Linked DNA regions of Stegostoma tigrinum. The protein of the gene in region 2 purifies or fractionates together with the protein of the main gene of each other region. This does not show direct contact. Links are inferred from orthologs where the notes say so. Each region holds a gene or a part of one and is shown on either strand. Other genes may lie near its edges.

Evidence for each region. The genes of interacting proteins can lie anywhere in the genome.
Region 1: the proteins of tensin-2-like (region 2) and csk purify together in Homo sapiens (affinity purification with mass spectrometry; 6 studies listed by BioGRID and IntAct, with this or other methods). This does not show direct contact. The link is inferred for Stegostoma tigrinum from reciprocal best matches to the Homo sapiens genes TNS2 and CSK.

What each region holds. Positions count from the first base shown.
Region 1 is NC_081389.1:17,788,123-17,795,971, forward strand, and holds the start of csk (tyrosine-protein kinase CSK), read left to right. Parts: upstream 1-4,648; 5' UTR 4,649-4,663; coding exon 4,664-4,689; intron 4,690-7,849. UniProt on the Homo sapiens protein: Non-receptor tyrosine-protein kinase that plays an important role in the regulation of cell growth, differentiation, migration and immune response.
Region 2 is NC_081404.1:11,585,881-11,593,589, forward strand, and holds the start of tensin-2-like, read left to right. Parts: upstream 1-4,705; 5' UTR 4,706-4,730; coding exon 4,731-4,829; intron 4,830-7,709. UniProt on the Homo sapiens protein: Tyrosine-protein phosphatase which regulates cell motility, proliferation and muscle-response to insulin. Phosphatase activity is mediated by binding to phosphatidylinositol-3,4,5-triphosphate (PtdIns(3,4,5)P3) via the SH2 domain.

The DNA of each region.
Region 1 (7,849 bases), on a different chromosome or scaffold from region 2:
CTTCAGTGCAGACACCATGAAGAATCACACTGGACTGAACATATTGAAAAGACAATTGAAATAGTGCATGCAAAATCCCAGAGACTCGTTGGAGACTTTGTTGTTCGGTCCATTCCTGATCTTTCTTTGTAACAGCAGAAGTGCCATACTTGCCTCTGCTCTCACAGGCAACCAGCAACAAGGATCTGCAGGCAAGTATTGGTACTGAGAATCTGTCAGGTGTGCTTCCCTTTCCCTTTTCCATATTCAGTATTTTACCATGTCTTTCACAGTGCATAACTTACAAGGTATTTACTGTCAATTTTATTTGTTTGTATAGCCATGTGAGTGCTGAAATTATCTGGCCTGAGCACTTCAATGTGTCTCAAATGAGACATAAGTGGTGGGTTCTTTTGGAATTTAACTTCAGTGTGCTGTGCGATTATAACGTGTTGATCATGGATGTCTTTGTAGTTACCATTTTGTTATTTGGGGTGAGGGGGACAGAAAATTTCATTAACCTTGTTAGAGAAATGAGATTGCACCCTAGTAATTTTTATTAACCTTGGTGAATAAGAAATGAAAATGACCTGCAGAGAGATGTTTAAGATTATTAGCACAGAAAGTCAGTCTTTTTTTTGAGCAGAGATATGAATGCAAAGCATTAGCCCTCCTATGTTTTGTTGCTGTGACTGCAGAATGCTGCTGATCTGTTTGAAGGAGTTGGTGCATATCGTCAGTACTGCATCAGTCTGCAGAATAGGCCAGCCTAACTGCCTATGGTAAAATTGTGCACCGGAGCAAGCTGTGATGCGATCAGCAGCTATCATTTTTGCTTTGACGTATTGTTGCTGTTCTGCTAATTAGCTCTCTGCTGTGTTCCTTTACTTTGAAGGCTGGTGCTGTATATATAGAGAGAAATTTCTTAATTGAAGCACGAATAATACCAATACTATGGCCTGATTTAGCATCTTTGTCTCAACCAATTTATGAAAGGCAGTTTTTTAAAAAATAACTGCCTAATATGTGACAGCATTAGCTGTTTTTCCCTAACAGTGAAAGTTACACATTTTAATAATTATGCTGTAATAGCCTAAAATAATTGCTACTGTTTGCAAATCAAATGTATTAGTTCCAATCTTTCATTCAGGGGTGAGAGTTGCAAAACTCTGCTGGATAGAGCTTTGGGGGGAAAAGACAGGCTAGTCTGGAATAATTTTGTTTATTCAGACTGAGATAATGTGCCGGGTACGAAAACTGTAAATCTTGGTCCTCTTTGGAAGTACAGAATCGCTAATGCTGTGCGTTTCTAGTTTAGTGACTCCTCCCCTTGAGTTCCTTGGGAGGAGATATAGCAGCAGCTGCTTATGTTTTTTTATATTGGTGTGAATCCAAAAGTTCTTATGTACTCCACATCAGTATACCTCAGGCTGGGTCCTTGAACAATATGGAGGAATTGAGGCCCTGTTAGAACTCTTGCTGTATTCGACTGCTGAAGAGCTTTGGTCATTTCTTTGTGTATTTAACACAGAGGCACCACGTGAGCTTGCTACCATGAGATTTGGAAACAATTACTCGAGCTTAAACTTGTAACTGGCCAACTTTTGTTCCAAATTGACTGGTGAATAGAACTATTTTACAAAATAGTAGAATTCATGTTACATTTTGTACTGAAACGCAATCCAACCAGTTGATATTGGGTCAGGCCATTGTGACCAGCCACTAGATATGTAAAAGTGCCTTATCTTGTACGTAATGAAAATTGTGATGGGTTAGACAATAAATGGCACTGCTGCCCCAAGGCACCAGGAACCTGGGTTCCGTTCCACCCTCGGGTGACTGTCTGTGCAGAGTTTGTATGTTCTCTGTGTCTGCATAGGTTTCCTCCCAGGTGCTCTAGTTTCCTCCAACAGTCCGAAGATGTTCAGGTGAGGTGAATTGGCCATGTTAAATTGCCCCATAGTGTTGAGGAGATAGCAAGAACTGCAGTTATTGGAATCAGAATCGATACATTGTGGAGCTGGAGGAGCAGAGCAGGTCAGGCAGCATCAGGGGAGTAGGAAAGTTGATATTTTGGGTCAAGACCCTTCTTCCGAACTGAATTGAACTTCAGAACAGTTCTGAAGAAGCCTCCCAACTCCAAACGTCCACTTTCCTATGCTGCTTGACCTACTGTGTTTCTCCAGCTCCACACGTTGACCCGTCGTGTTTCCCTATGTGCAGACTAGCTAGATTAGCCATGAGGAATTGCAGGATGATAGAGCAAAGGGTGGGGCTAGGTGGGATGCTTTTTAATGGTTGGTGTGGGCTCAGTGGACTGGCCTGCTTCTGCCTGACTGTGACTCTTATAAAGACTGCTGGGAATTATTGTTTGCTGTAGGATTATTTTGAAACCCATGTAATTGGCCTTTAATTTGTCAAACCAACTGGATTTAATGTATGCAAGAAAGACACTTCTTTTAAAATGAGGCAAAACACGTTATAGTTAATGTTTAAAGTATCTAAACTTTACAGGTATTTGTGCAACCCGATCATGTTTCAATATATTCAGATCTTTCTGGATAAAAGCTTGGGCTGGGTGACCATATCCTAGATTTTGCTTGGTGTCTACACCTTACTTGAGTATACATGGGGAAAGTTCATGTAGTCTATTATCTTGATTTAGGATGTTTTGCTTTGGAAGCATTGTTGATTACTTTTAATTGTGGATGTGTTGTGCCTGAATTGAGAATTGATTTGTGCCGTTTTAACTGGATGTGGACTGAAGTAGTGGTATCTGTTTGCAAAATGCAACTGTAAGTCAGTGCTTTTACAAATATAGAAAGATTGGACCCAGTTCTGGTCTTCACCAATTAGCTTTCTGGAATATTCACATCTAGTGGGGCTGTCTTTTCTAGGAACATGAGCTGAGTTTTTAAACAAAATATTTTCTTTTAGAGCTACAAGACAAATGTCATATTGCGTGCTGTCCATTTCCTAAAGACACTGCTATGGTTCCTTTAGCTACTTAAAAAGATGGTCCTTGCTTGTTTTTTTAGGTTTGTGAGGGAGGCCCACCATTTAGGTACCTACTGTGATGATGGGGACTGTATTTGGGCCAGTATTCTCTTCTACTTGGTAATTAATTAGGTGTGAAGCACTTTGAGAAACTCCAAGCACACACTGTGCTGCTACATCAATGTAAATTACACTAGGATTGGTTCCAGTAAGTTTAGATCAAGCTCCAGTCTTGACCTAGGGCTACTTCATTCTTAAAAGATGACTCCTGACTGAGTATCCAGGCAGTAAAGGCAAAGTTTAAATTGGCACCACTTTGCAAGTTAAATTTCCTATGTAGAATAACAAAGCTATTTCAAGATGCATGCAGGACATTCTGTAACTCGGAAAAATCATTATTTGTAATTATGGAGTGCCTTCTTACATTCAAACACCCGACGTGCTTCACACTGTGAATTTTAGTGACTAATTAGATCTAGCACAATGCCTTGTGGCACTATTTCCCAGAGCCGTAAATGATGCGGCTGGCCAGTTAATTTATTTGATAGTACGGTATTTGTCCAATGTCCAGTGATTATCTTGGGAAGGTTTAGAGTAGTTTTCCACTGAACCTCTACAAACAAGAATTTTTTTTCTTTGAAAAGATGAAAGGTTTTTTTTACTGTTACGGTACTCCTTTGCCTGTGCATTATTTCTCAATTTAGATCCTTTGACAGTATTTGTTCCCTCTTTTGTGGGTTTGATTTAAGAAAAGCTATTGCATATGCTTGGGTTTAACACTAAATAATTTAACCACATCTCTGTGTACAGTTAAAGACACACTGATTTGTTACTGCCTGCTAATGCAAAGTACATGGATGTAGTTATTTACTTGGATTGTGACTGTCATTGAGATTCTATTCATGAGCAAGTACTTATTGAAAACTGTACAAGCTCTTATTGCAGACAGATCTTCAATTTGAAGTCAGTGACATTAATCTGTTGCAATTGTAAACTCTACTATACTTCTGCCAACTCCTGGTATGGTGTTATATAATCAGCAGTATGTATTTTTCACGTGAATTCTTTAGTCCTGGAGTTCTATGATTCATGAATAACTTGTAGATCTCTTAATTGTGATTATCGTGAGGACTTCCTATTTTACCACACTGGTGCCTGGTGCATTTTTGACTGTTTTGCAGCTCGCTCAATGAAGTGGCACCACATTAAACATGGCAGAGGATGAAACAGAACCTAAGGTCTATTTAGAGGATGAAACAAGGCATAGATAGGGCCTAGTTATTTTACGTTGAATAGCGTACAACTGAAACTGTAGCGCATAACATCTAGATGGTGTGAACCTAACAACTGGTTTTAAGCGTAACGCTGGTGTTTGAGTTTAAATAAATATACAGCTATTTCTATTTTAGTCTTTTTTTTTGGAGTTTTTAATTTATTACTTGCCATGGTCTCCTGGCAACCATCATTATAGTGGCTTAGTGTCATTGCAAGAACCAATGAGTGAAAAGAATGAGCTGGTGTTACAGTGGAAGAGATCACCAACAGCTGTTTATTGTGACCTTTTTAAGCTAACTTATTCTCACTGCTTTGTGGTAAAAGTATTGAGGGTAACTAAAAGTTGCTTGTTTTTTTTAAGGAGAGTCTTAAAGGAGGAAAGAGTCTTGGGAGAGAATAGACGGCTGAATACATGCCTGCGCGTGGCCAGATAGTCAGGTAAAGCATATAAGAGATGCCAGAAAGGTTGGAGCTATGTAATGACAGAGTTCTTGAAGAGTGTAAGGGTGTGTTGGCTTTAGGAGGACTTTTTTAAAGTCAAGATTTTCAAGACATGAAATTGTTTTTCAATCAAATATGGCCTTTGAAATGCGAAAGGCCAAACCCAAAAAATGAATTTTTGCAGGGTTCTAGAGCTATTAACCAGATCAATATTCTGCTAAATTTTGTTATTTTCCATAACAATACTGACGTTCTTTTGAACTGTGGAGAGAATGCTTATAAGGACAGAATGGAAAGTGGAGTTGAGACTGAGATCAGATTAAAAAATCCTTGTGTCGTCGTCCTAGTTTTCAGAGATAGAAATGGCAGCATTTTTGTACCCTGAATAACTCTTGAATTGAGCATTGAGAGCGGTTAAGAGTGAACCTTATTGTTGTGGGCCTGTAGGCACGTGCTAAACGATTTTGTTCCCGAAGGCTACTAGTGAACCAGATTTTTGTGACAATTGGTAGTTTTGTGACATAATCACTGAGTAGAAATCTGCAATGTGTCTGTGATTATGAGCTTGTGTAGTTTTTTAGTTAGGAATGTGCAGGACTGCTACTTGCATTTTGCCCTCATGTATTTTCGGAAGAGCCTTTTGGTCCCTCTTTCAATTTGTAAACGAAGAAACCAACTGTGAAAAACTCAGAAGTCATTGTATCTGCGTGACAATATTGTATACATCAAAGTAGTTATTGTATTGAAATTTCAGCTACAGCTGCCTTCTTGTTTACCATACACACCTGTTAGATTGGAATTCTACAAGTAAATATTGTCATCCAGCAGAACTGTGGCTATCAAAACAACGTGAAAGTTCTTGTATATTTTGTGTTGTCTGATATGCAGTTTGCAAGTGTTTATTGTGCTTATGCTTAGAAACTCTGGATATGTTGCATTGGGATAACTGGTAGGAGCAAGAAAAATGAGAGAATATGGGCAAGAACAAAGTTGCTGAAAAAGCTCAGTAGATCTAGCAGCATCTGTGAAGAAAAAAACAGTTAACGTTTCAAATCCGGTGGCCTGCCCTTAGTACTGGAGGAGGGGTCACAGGATCTGAAATGTGACTTTTTTTTTTGGCTTCACATACTGCCAGACCTGCTAAGCTGTTCTAGCAATTTTTGTTTTTCTTCCTGATTCACAGCATCCACAGTTCTATCAGTTTTTATTGAGAGAATACGGATTTGGTCATTCTGCCCACCCTTTTTTAATGAGATGTCCCAGATTGCTGTATTTTTCAAATGGGAGCCTTTTAGTGTTCTGGGCTATGTGTGTGCTTTCTGATCTGTTTCGTCTTTGCAGCTGTGTAGTTTCTGTACCCTTGTAGAAAATTTTAGGTAAGGATATCCTAATTTCTTTTTGCCCTTGCATTGCCCATTAGTGATAGGCAGGTGGTGTGAAAAGATGATGTATTGAAAAGATCTGTTTTGGATTTTGTTTCATGCTGTTAGTGTGCAGAGACATTATACCACAATTTCTTGTTGCTTTCATGTTTAATTTGAGATGTTTCAAATAACGGACATTTTGTGACTGAAGGGTTAAACCTCAGACAGCATTATAGCATACACCAGATGGTGGCACTTCATCACTGTATTAATAAATTGTATTAATGACTTTTAAATACTTGATCTGTATTCATTTCGTTTAATACCTGAAAGTTGTGATAAATTGCTTTTATCTTCTGTATGATAGTACCGTCACTTTTTAGTTGGTTTAAAATGAGCTTACATTGAGGCTTTCTGTTACATTTTCTGGAACATAGTGCATCATTTAGGTAGATTCTGGTAGTTCTGTACAAACGTGTGCAGTATTTTTCTGAATGTAAAATCTGTCTGGCAAATGGCTGCACGACATTATTGCACCCTTTTCATTTTCGATGGTTACAAAGGTTCCTGCGGTGCATGGTGATCTTGATATTTTTTTTTGGAAATGGCATTTACTTCTCTTGTGCTGGTGCAGTGTAGAAATGCACTCCTTAGTGTTCTCTAAGCCTGACTACAGGAACAAAGTAGATTCAAGGCAGGAATTGTAGAGTGCTGAATTTCTCTCCTGCTCTCTGGTATCTTGCTGTGGGAGGAATAGAAATGTGGATGTTATGGGAGGAGGGGGACCTGGAGATTGTTCTGGGTGTTTTAAACAATGTCGGGTAGAAGCTAATTATATAACAGATTCTGGTGGAATGGTGACATGAATTTTCCAAGGCATTACTCTTTTATAATTCCAGTGAATAAAAGCAGGAACAGCAACACAGCAGAGTGAAATATAGAAGCTCAAACTGGGCTTAACCTGAATAAATGGAACTGAATCTCATGGATTATTTAATTTTTAATTTTAATATGTTGAACTTTAATGCCAGTAGTGTGGATTTGTTCCTTATCCCCTCATCCCACTTACCATCCTCACTTTGTTATCCATTGATTATCCTAATGTATTATAAAACCCAACTAACCAATTATTTAGTGTCGTTGATTATGTGCTATTACATTGGATGTAATATTTTGTAAGAAAATTAGTTGCCATTACCGAAAGGAGTTGTGAATAGTTGCTGGAGAATTGTTTCCCTCGCTCCCCCACTGGAAAGTGAGGAGTACATTCTGCATTCATCACATAGGGGAGACCATTCACCTTTATCAGGATTTCTTGCTGCTTTTGGCAATTCCTCACCAGCTGCAATTAATGAGAGATAATTTCCTGTATTTATCTTGATTTCATTTTAAATATTCATGCTTTCTTTAAACAAATGTTTACTCCTTCAAGCAAGTTATAAAATTAAAAGAAACATCAAAACTTATGTTTTGTTTGCTGCTTGGAAATAAGGACAATTTTTTAAATTTTGTAATTTGCATAATGTGAAATAAATTCCTATTTTTAACGGTACATCCTTCACTTCCGAAGACCATCGCAGTGACTTCTTTTTGCCCCTTGAACATTTTAGCAGTCAAAAGATGATTTGTTTGCAGCAGTGCCTTCCTCAAGAAAATGGTTCCAGATTTTAAGGTCTTTTTAGTTCCCAACTCCCTTTATCCGCAAGAAGAAAAAGTTGTATTTATAAAACATGTAAGACCCAACTGTTTAACAACAAAATCTGCTCCACATCCAATTAAGTATTATATTTGAA
Region 2 (7,709 bases):
GCAAATTAAGAAATATTTTCTTTGGAGTTAAGCACTTGGAACAGGCTAATTGGGTACTTCAAAGTGACTTTTTAAAAAAATTTGTTCTGAGGATGTGTCTGTCACTGGTAAGGCCAGCACTGCTTATCATTTAATTAACCCCTAATTGTCCTTGAGCAGTTAGTGAGTTGTCTACAACTGAGTGGCTTGGTAGGGTGATTTCAGTGCCCAAAATGAAACCCAAGGTACCATACGTTGTGCTAGCTACTCTCTCATGATGTCGTCCTGACACCATCAAAGATTGGTGCACATGAACCTTGAAATCCCTGTGTCCCTGTACACTCTAGAGCTGAGCCATTAAGTACATCCAGCCTCTCCCTACCTCTCTGCCAAATGGCATCATCTCACACTTTATTCTTCTATTAATACTTCTGTATTATTCTTATTCTGTATTATTCTTATATTAATACTTCTGTGTTAAATTCTTACTGTCACTTGACTGTCCGTTCTGTAGCACTGAGAAAAAATTAGTTTGATTCAGATGCTGTTATAGTTAGTCTTGTAGCCATCACACATGTCTGTAATGTGAATGTGAGCTAAACTGTGCATGACACCCAAAGGAAAGATTTTTACAAAAGCAAGCATGTGACAAGTGAGCATTCCCTTGAATGCCTGAAAGTTCACTAACCTTGTACCAGAATCTATGCGTTACAAGAATCTGCAAGGCACAGTATGAGCTTGAGGTATGACTTATTTGGAGCTTAGAAAAGGACCAGAGGGGGAAAGTTCAGCACTTGATATGATCACAATACACAGAACTGTGGCTGTGTTCCAGGGAAAAAAAGTATCCAGAGTGGGTGCTGTGTGAGATTTTTACTTGACGGGCCTCATACAACATTAACTGATCCTGTGCGTCAGCCTGAGCTTTGATAACAGCCTGTTTGTCTTGGGAATGTTAGAATTTAGATGTCCTGGTTGGGGTATAGATGAAATGATGAGAAAAGTAAATGGAGCAGAGTAATTAATATTACTCCCACTTACAGCTTGAGACAATGACAAGCTAAGTTTATACAAAGAATGCTGTTCAGCCCAATGATTCTCATCTTTTAGATTACCAACCCTGCTTTCTTCCCAAAATAGTACCTAGTAATTCAGCATTCTGTGGTATTCTCCAAGGTTCCTCACAAAGGCTTCCTTTTTGTGAAGCCTAAACCTGGATTGTCCTGTTAATACTGTACAATGGCTTCACAAGATGTTGCAGTGAGCAAAATATCCCTGGAGGAATGGAAAGGAATGAAGAAAATTGGGGAATGGTGGTGGAGGGAGGAGGCTATAAAGGTTAATGAACGGTATTAAATATGAGCCAGCAGCTTCAGGTGAAGACAAAATTGGAGAGGCAGATACAGTTTTGGTAAAGTGTAATGGTAGGTTTTCCTTTAAGAAGTTGCTGAGGGACTTGACCTTCATTCAATCTTTTCTCATCTGTTAAATGGGATTAATGGCTTGTCTCAAATTGGATTAAGTGTTTGTGTTTTAAATGTTCTCACACTTCCCAGGTCGTGGTATCCCACAAAGAGCATAGGCAAACAACGTGCTCCAAGATCTGTTATTGGAGGTGAGCTACCAGATGATGAGCATCAGAAGCCTGAGACTGGGTGTACCCCTTTTCTTCATCCTATCTTGAAGCAGATGCTCCCTTCCACTTCCATTGACTTCTAACCTTTCCACAATGGTAGTGTTGCTTTGTCCAATACTGTGGCAGCTGTCACACATCTTGGCTGTTACTAAGCTGGCATGAACTGCTGTGTTTAGATGTTCTCTGCCCAAGATGTGGTCAATAAAGATTCTCCTCACTCTGGGTGAGCAAATTAATCACCAGATCAGAAAAATATTTCATCTATTTAGAGTAGTGGTTTTGCAGAGTGTTTTTCAAATAATAAACTTCTGCTTTGTCTACAAAAGGCAAGTCTGGGTTCCTGACAATCGATATTTGTAAATGTTAGCAATCTCTTTCAATGTCTGGTTGCTGGCACTGACTATTGATTCTGCTACATCAGGAGAGTGTTTGTTTTTTTTTAATCTCCTGACTGTGGCAGTTCCCACAGAAAATGCCACTTTACTGCTAAACTGGAAACTCTACAACAGAGGGATGTAGGGGGTGCTAGGAGTGGTGGGGTCAACAAAAGATTTTGTCAGTGCATCAAGTATTGTGAAATTATAAATCGGTTGTTTAAGATTTTGTGATACAAGATGCAAGGAGAAAATCCTACCACCCCTGCAAAGATTCTCAGGAATTTAATTTAAATTTGGGAGGGAGTAGTAGCCTTGATGACTGAATAGTCTTTGCTCATACATACATACTTATGTATATTGAAAAATCCTGGGCATAGAGTCATAGAGCCATACAGTGAGCCAACTTGTCCATGCTGACCAGATATCCTATACAGATCTAGTCCTATTTGCTAGCATTTGGCCCATATCCCTCTGAACCCTTCCTATTCATATACCCATCCAGATGCCTCTTTAAATGTTGTAATTGTACCAGCCTCCATCACTTCCTCTGGCAGCTCATTCCAAACACGCACCACCCCCTGTGTGGAAAAAGATGCCCCTTAGATCCATTTTAAATCTTTCCGCTCTCATCTTAAACCTATGTTCTCTAGTTTTGAACTCCCCAACCCAGGGAAAAGACCTTGAATATTCACCTTATCTGTGCCCCTCATGACTTTATAAACTTCTGTAAGGTCACCCCTCAGCCTCTGATGCTGCAGCCTCTCCTTGTAGCTCAAACCCTCCAACCCCAGCAACATCCTTGTAAATCTTTTTTTATTTGTCAGTGTTTCAGTAAGCAGAACTAAGAGCCCTAACCTCATTTTACAAGCCTTCAACAACCTTGTGCTCCTTGAATTTAACCTCTTCCAAAGCTCTAATTTTGAATCTCTCTAACAATGGCTACCTTCCCTTCAGCTCCAGTAATCTAGACTAGAACCTAAGCTTAAGACTTTCTTCTCAACAGTTCTGCTTTTCTTCTTCTATGATGGTCTGTAAAACCTACCTCTTTGAGCAAGCAATTCTGTCACCTATTCTAATATCTCCCTTTGTAGTCCAGTGTGAAAGGTTGTTTCCTAATCCTCCTGTGCTGAAGTGCCCTTGGATGTTTTGCAATGGTAAGGGCCCTTTGGAATGCAAGTTGCTGGTGTACAGCTTCTGTAGTGCTGTAGTGACAGTAAAAGTGATTCGTTGAGGGACGATGCAACAAAGGTGTGCTCAAATTGGCAAGTCACACATAAAAGAGCAAGAGTTTGAGAAAAGGCTTCCACACTGTGTTGCCAGTTTTATGAGCTGCTCTTGTCTCAAGTGAAATTTTGCGCAGGCTCATTCCGTAAAACTCTATTGCTTTGCTGTTCACAATTTCTCTAAAATGATCACTAGTTGCTCACAACTAGGAAAACAGATGTTTGAGATGTGCAAGGGGCTGGGGAAAAGTGCCCTGTCATAGAATCAAAGAAGGGCATTGCACAGAATGAGGCCAGTGGCAGCTCCTTTAAAGAGCTATCCAATTAGTCCCACACTCCTGATCCTTACCAGAAATCCTGCAATGGCATTCAGTTCCCCTGTTTGGCAGTTACTATTGAATCTGCTTCCACTTTCCTCTTTGGGGGAATGCATCCCTGAGCACAACTCAGTGTCTTTTAAAAAAAAAATCTAATGTGTCATCTCTTGTTTCTATCTGCGTCCCTTTGGTTACTGAACCCTCAACCACGCTTCCATGGTTTTGAATGCCTCAATTAAATTTCCCCTTAATCACCTCTGCTTTGAAGAGAACAATCCCAGCTTCTCAAATCTCCCCAAAATAACTGGAATCTATATCTCTGAGATAGTAGGAACTGCAGATGCTGGAGGATCTGAGAAAACAAAGTGTGGAGCTGGATGAACACAGCAGGCCAAGCAGCATCAGAGGAGCAGGAAAGCTAACGTTTCAGGCCGAGACCCTTCATCACTGGCACCTTTCTGTAAGTTTCCCCTGCACCCCCTCCAGGACGTTGGCATCCTTCCTACAGTGTGGGGCCCAAATCTTCGCTATGTTTGCAACAGCAGCAAAATCATGAGCATCTCTGAGGCTGCTACCTCTCGCATTTGTACAAAGTTAGATACTCAACAGGAAGCAGCAGAGAGTCGGCCAGGATTGGCTTTGCTACTTTCTCCACACGTTCTAGATCTGGGGATAGAGAATAATCTAGATCAATTAGATCTGGCTGTCATTCAGCGGTTTAAATAATTGCTTGCAGGGTACAGTCTCCTCTGACAGAAGAAACTGAAGGGGGGGGGGTGAGAATCCTCACTATTGAATTGAAATGCTCGCAGCATGCCATCATGCTTTGTTCTTTGCAAACCCCTTTTGATTGATGGCTGTTATGAAATTCATTCCCCAGTCAATGCAGCTGAAGGACTGCGTCTCTATGACCCAGGTAGCGAAGGTTTTGGGGTGGGGGGAGGGGTCGTAGGAAAGGTTTGACACCTGTGTGTTAAAAAGGTGAAACAGCAGCTTTCTACCCTGAAGATCCACATGCGGTTGCTCCACTGTGACCGGCGCTGCCGGTGAATTCAGGGGCGGTGCTACGTTTCCAGAATTAAACTTTTCGCTCCGTTTTCCGGAGGAGGGTGGGGGTTGTGGTGGTGGGAGGGAAGAGGGAAAAAGAAACATCTCCCTGGGAGTCAGAGTAGAACCAGCATCAGAGAGAGCGAGCTGCATGGGCTGTGCTCTAAGTCTCGATTGCTGCGGGAAGGAGCTCTGCGGGCCCCCAGATGAAGCTACGGGGAGGAAAGAAGAAAAAATGAGGCTCACGAAGGTATTTCATCCTCTCCTGCGCTCTGTGTGTGTTTTGAGGAGGATCGTTTGTAGAAAAGTGCGTAGACTTTGAGACAAGTCCTATACACATACATACCTATGTATACATTATATATACATATAATATATATTAGATACATCTAAGTCCTGTCAGGCTTGTCGATTGAAACCACTACCGCGGTAAACCAGGCGAGAGCGGGCAAAGGTCAAGTAACGTAATTGTTTTCTGGTAACGCATGGGTTGTTGTTTTATTTACGAGATTTTGTAACCTTGGGAAGCTTAAAAAAAAGGAAAGGGGAATGAAAGCGACAGGAATAAAGAGATGAGGCCAACTTTGTTGCTTTTGGAAGCTTGGAGGGAATATCAAAGGGGTGCAGCCCTCGTCAAAACATTTTTTTTCCTGGGGGTGTGGTTCGGGAGGGGGGTGGTTAGCCGACTCTTTAATACAGTGATGTCGATGTCAACATAATGCAGTCTGTGTCAAGTGTCTGGCAAAACTAACTCAAGGAAACTTTATACGAAGATCAGGAAAAGTTGCACTGCTTTGTGCTGTTTTCTTTTTCCGACGACATATGACTCGAACTCCTCGAGCTTATTGACTCGAAAAGTAACAGTTTGAGTGCAGGTCACTGCAGTCTGCAATCTGATTATGTAGAGAATGCTTTTCTGGCTGCAGTCACTCAGCTCCTCAAATCTTCCTGGAATACACTGCCTCCGATGTCAACGAAAGAGCCACATATTTCATCATAAGTTCAGTGCTCTGTTGTGTTAGGTGGCGGTGGACGCTGCACAACGTGACATCCTTCAAGGATTCCTGCTGTCATATCAGCAGCGCTGCTGCCTCGATGCACTCTGCACTGTCCCAGCTGGAATATGCTGGGCCAGCCACAAATTGAACCCTAAGACAGCACCTCTTTTAGCTGCGTCCCCACGGCTAGATCTGGTTTAAAAAAAATTCTGTGGCTTTCCCCCTTGCTACTGACAAGTCTCCTTTCCCATGGCAGAGAACGCTCAGGTTTCAATGCCATTTGTGAGTCGCGTGTGTGTGCATGTGAGGCCTCCCGCCTGCCTCCTGTGGCCACCACGAGTCACTGCTCTCACACCCTGGGGTCAAGTACAGGCCGGCTGCTGGCGCTCTTTCTCTGTTCATGGGCAGTTGCCTGTAAATCACCAACCAGAAGCAAAATGCTGCACATCTGACATGAAAGCAGGTCAGAGCATGTGTGGAGAGAGAAACAAGTCTGATGAGCTATGAAATGTCAATGTTGATGTAGGGTCATCAATTTGCACTCAAGGCAGGTGTGGCGGGGTACACTGATGATTGCACTAATGTTTGCAACTTCTCAGATACTGAAGCAGTCTATGTCGGAAGACCCGGCCAGTTTGGCTAATAAGTAACAAGAAACATTTACACCACACAAGTGGCAAGCGATCATCTCCAACCAGGGAAAATCATCCCTTAAAATTCCAGGGTACTACCGTTACCATTGCTGAATTGCCTACAATCAACAACCTGGGAGTTACCATTGACCCAAAATTGAATTGGGTCAGCAATACACATACTACAAGATTCGCTCAGAGGCTAGGAATACTGCAGCAACTAATTTACCTTCTGACTCCCAAAGCCTGTCCCACCATTGACAGGGCACAGGCCAGGAGTGTGATGGAATACTCCCCACTTTTGCCTGGATGGATGCAGCTCCAACAACACTGAAGAAGGTCCAGATCAAAGCAGCCCAGTTGATGAGCACCCTGTCCACCATTGTTCAGCGCGATCAGTGTGGACCACGTACAAGATGCACTGCAGCAAATCACCAAATCTCCTTTTACAGCACCTTCCAAACCCACAATTTCTACCATGTGGAAGAACAAGGTCAGCAGATCCATGAGAACACCATCATCTGCAAGCTCCCCTCCAACCAACTCACCATCCTGACTTGGAAATATATCACTGTACCTTCAATGTTATTGGGTCAAAATCCTGAGACTGTCTCCCTAACGGCACTGTGTACCTGGACAACATGGACTGCAGAGATTCAAAAAGGCAACACACCACCACCTCTTCAGGAATAATTTTATTTTAATAGTGGCTGATAAATCCACAGAACTGTCTTGTCAAAACACTGTGAGTTTGGTCCTTTTATAGTTTTATATTCAACACATTAGCTTTATAGGAATGTTGGCTTAAGTTCCTGAGGTCCACACTAATTGCTTCTTTTGGAATTTGTCATTCAAATACCATTCTTATGTGAGTCTAATGATTATCTAGTTCACAGGTCGGCACAACATCGAGGGCCGAAGGGCCTGTTCTGCGCTGTATTGTTCTATGTTCTATTATTGGTAAGCATGTAGAGCCATCACTCCAACTCAGGACAGACAATAAATGTTGGCTCAGCCAGTGACAACCACATCTCATGAAATAATTTTTGAAAAACATTAGCTCTGTTTCTCTCCTCTTTGACACTAGGATTCAGATACAAATCAGCAAACTGACCATAGGAGTCAGAGTGAGCCTTAGCAACTTGCTGAGTTTTTAATGATGAACTTTGCCATGCAGTGATTTTTGAAGTTCTGATTTTTCTCACATGTTCAAATGTTAACTGAGCAATAAAGTATTAGGTTGATACAAATGCAAACGATTGGCTGTTGACCTATATACTGAGAGTCTCCAATGGCTACAGAAGCACACTATATACTGCAAGAAAAATTTACATTCATATCGTGCCTTTCTTGAACACGTCCTGTGAGCTTTATTCCAATATTCTTATGTTTGGTTTGTGATGTGATTTTTGTATTAATGTCAAAAAGAAAGTCTTGCATTGATATAGTGTCTTGAACATACCAAAGTGTTTTATGGTTAATGGATTACTTTAAAAGTAT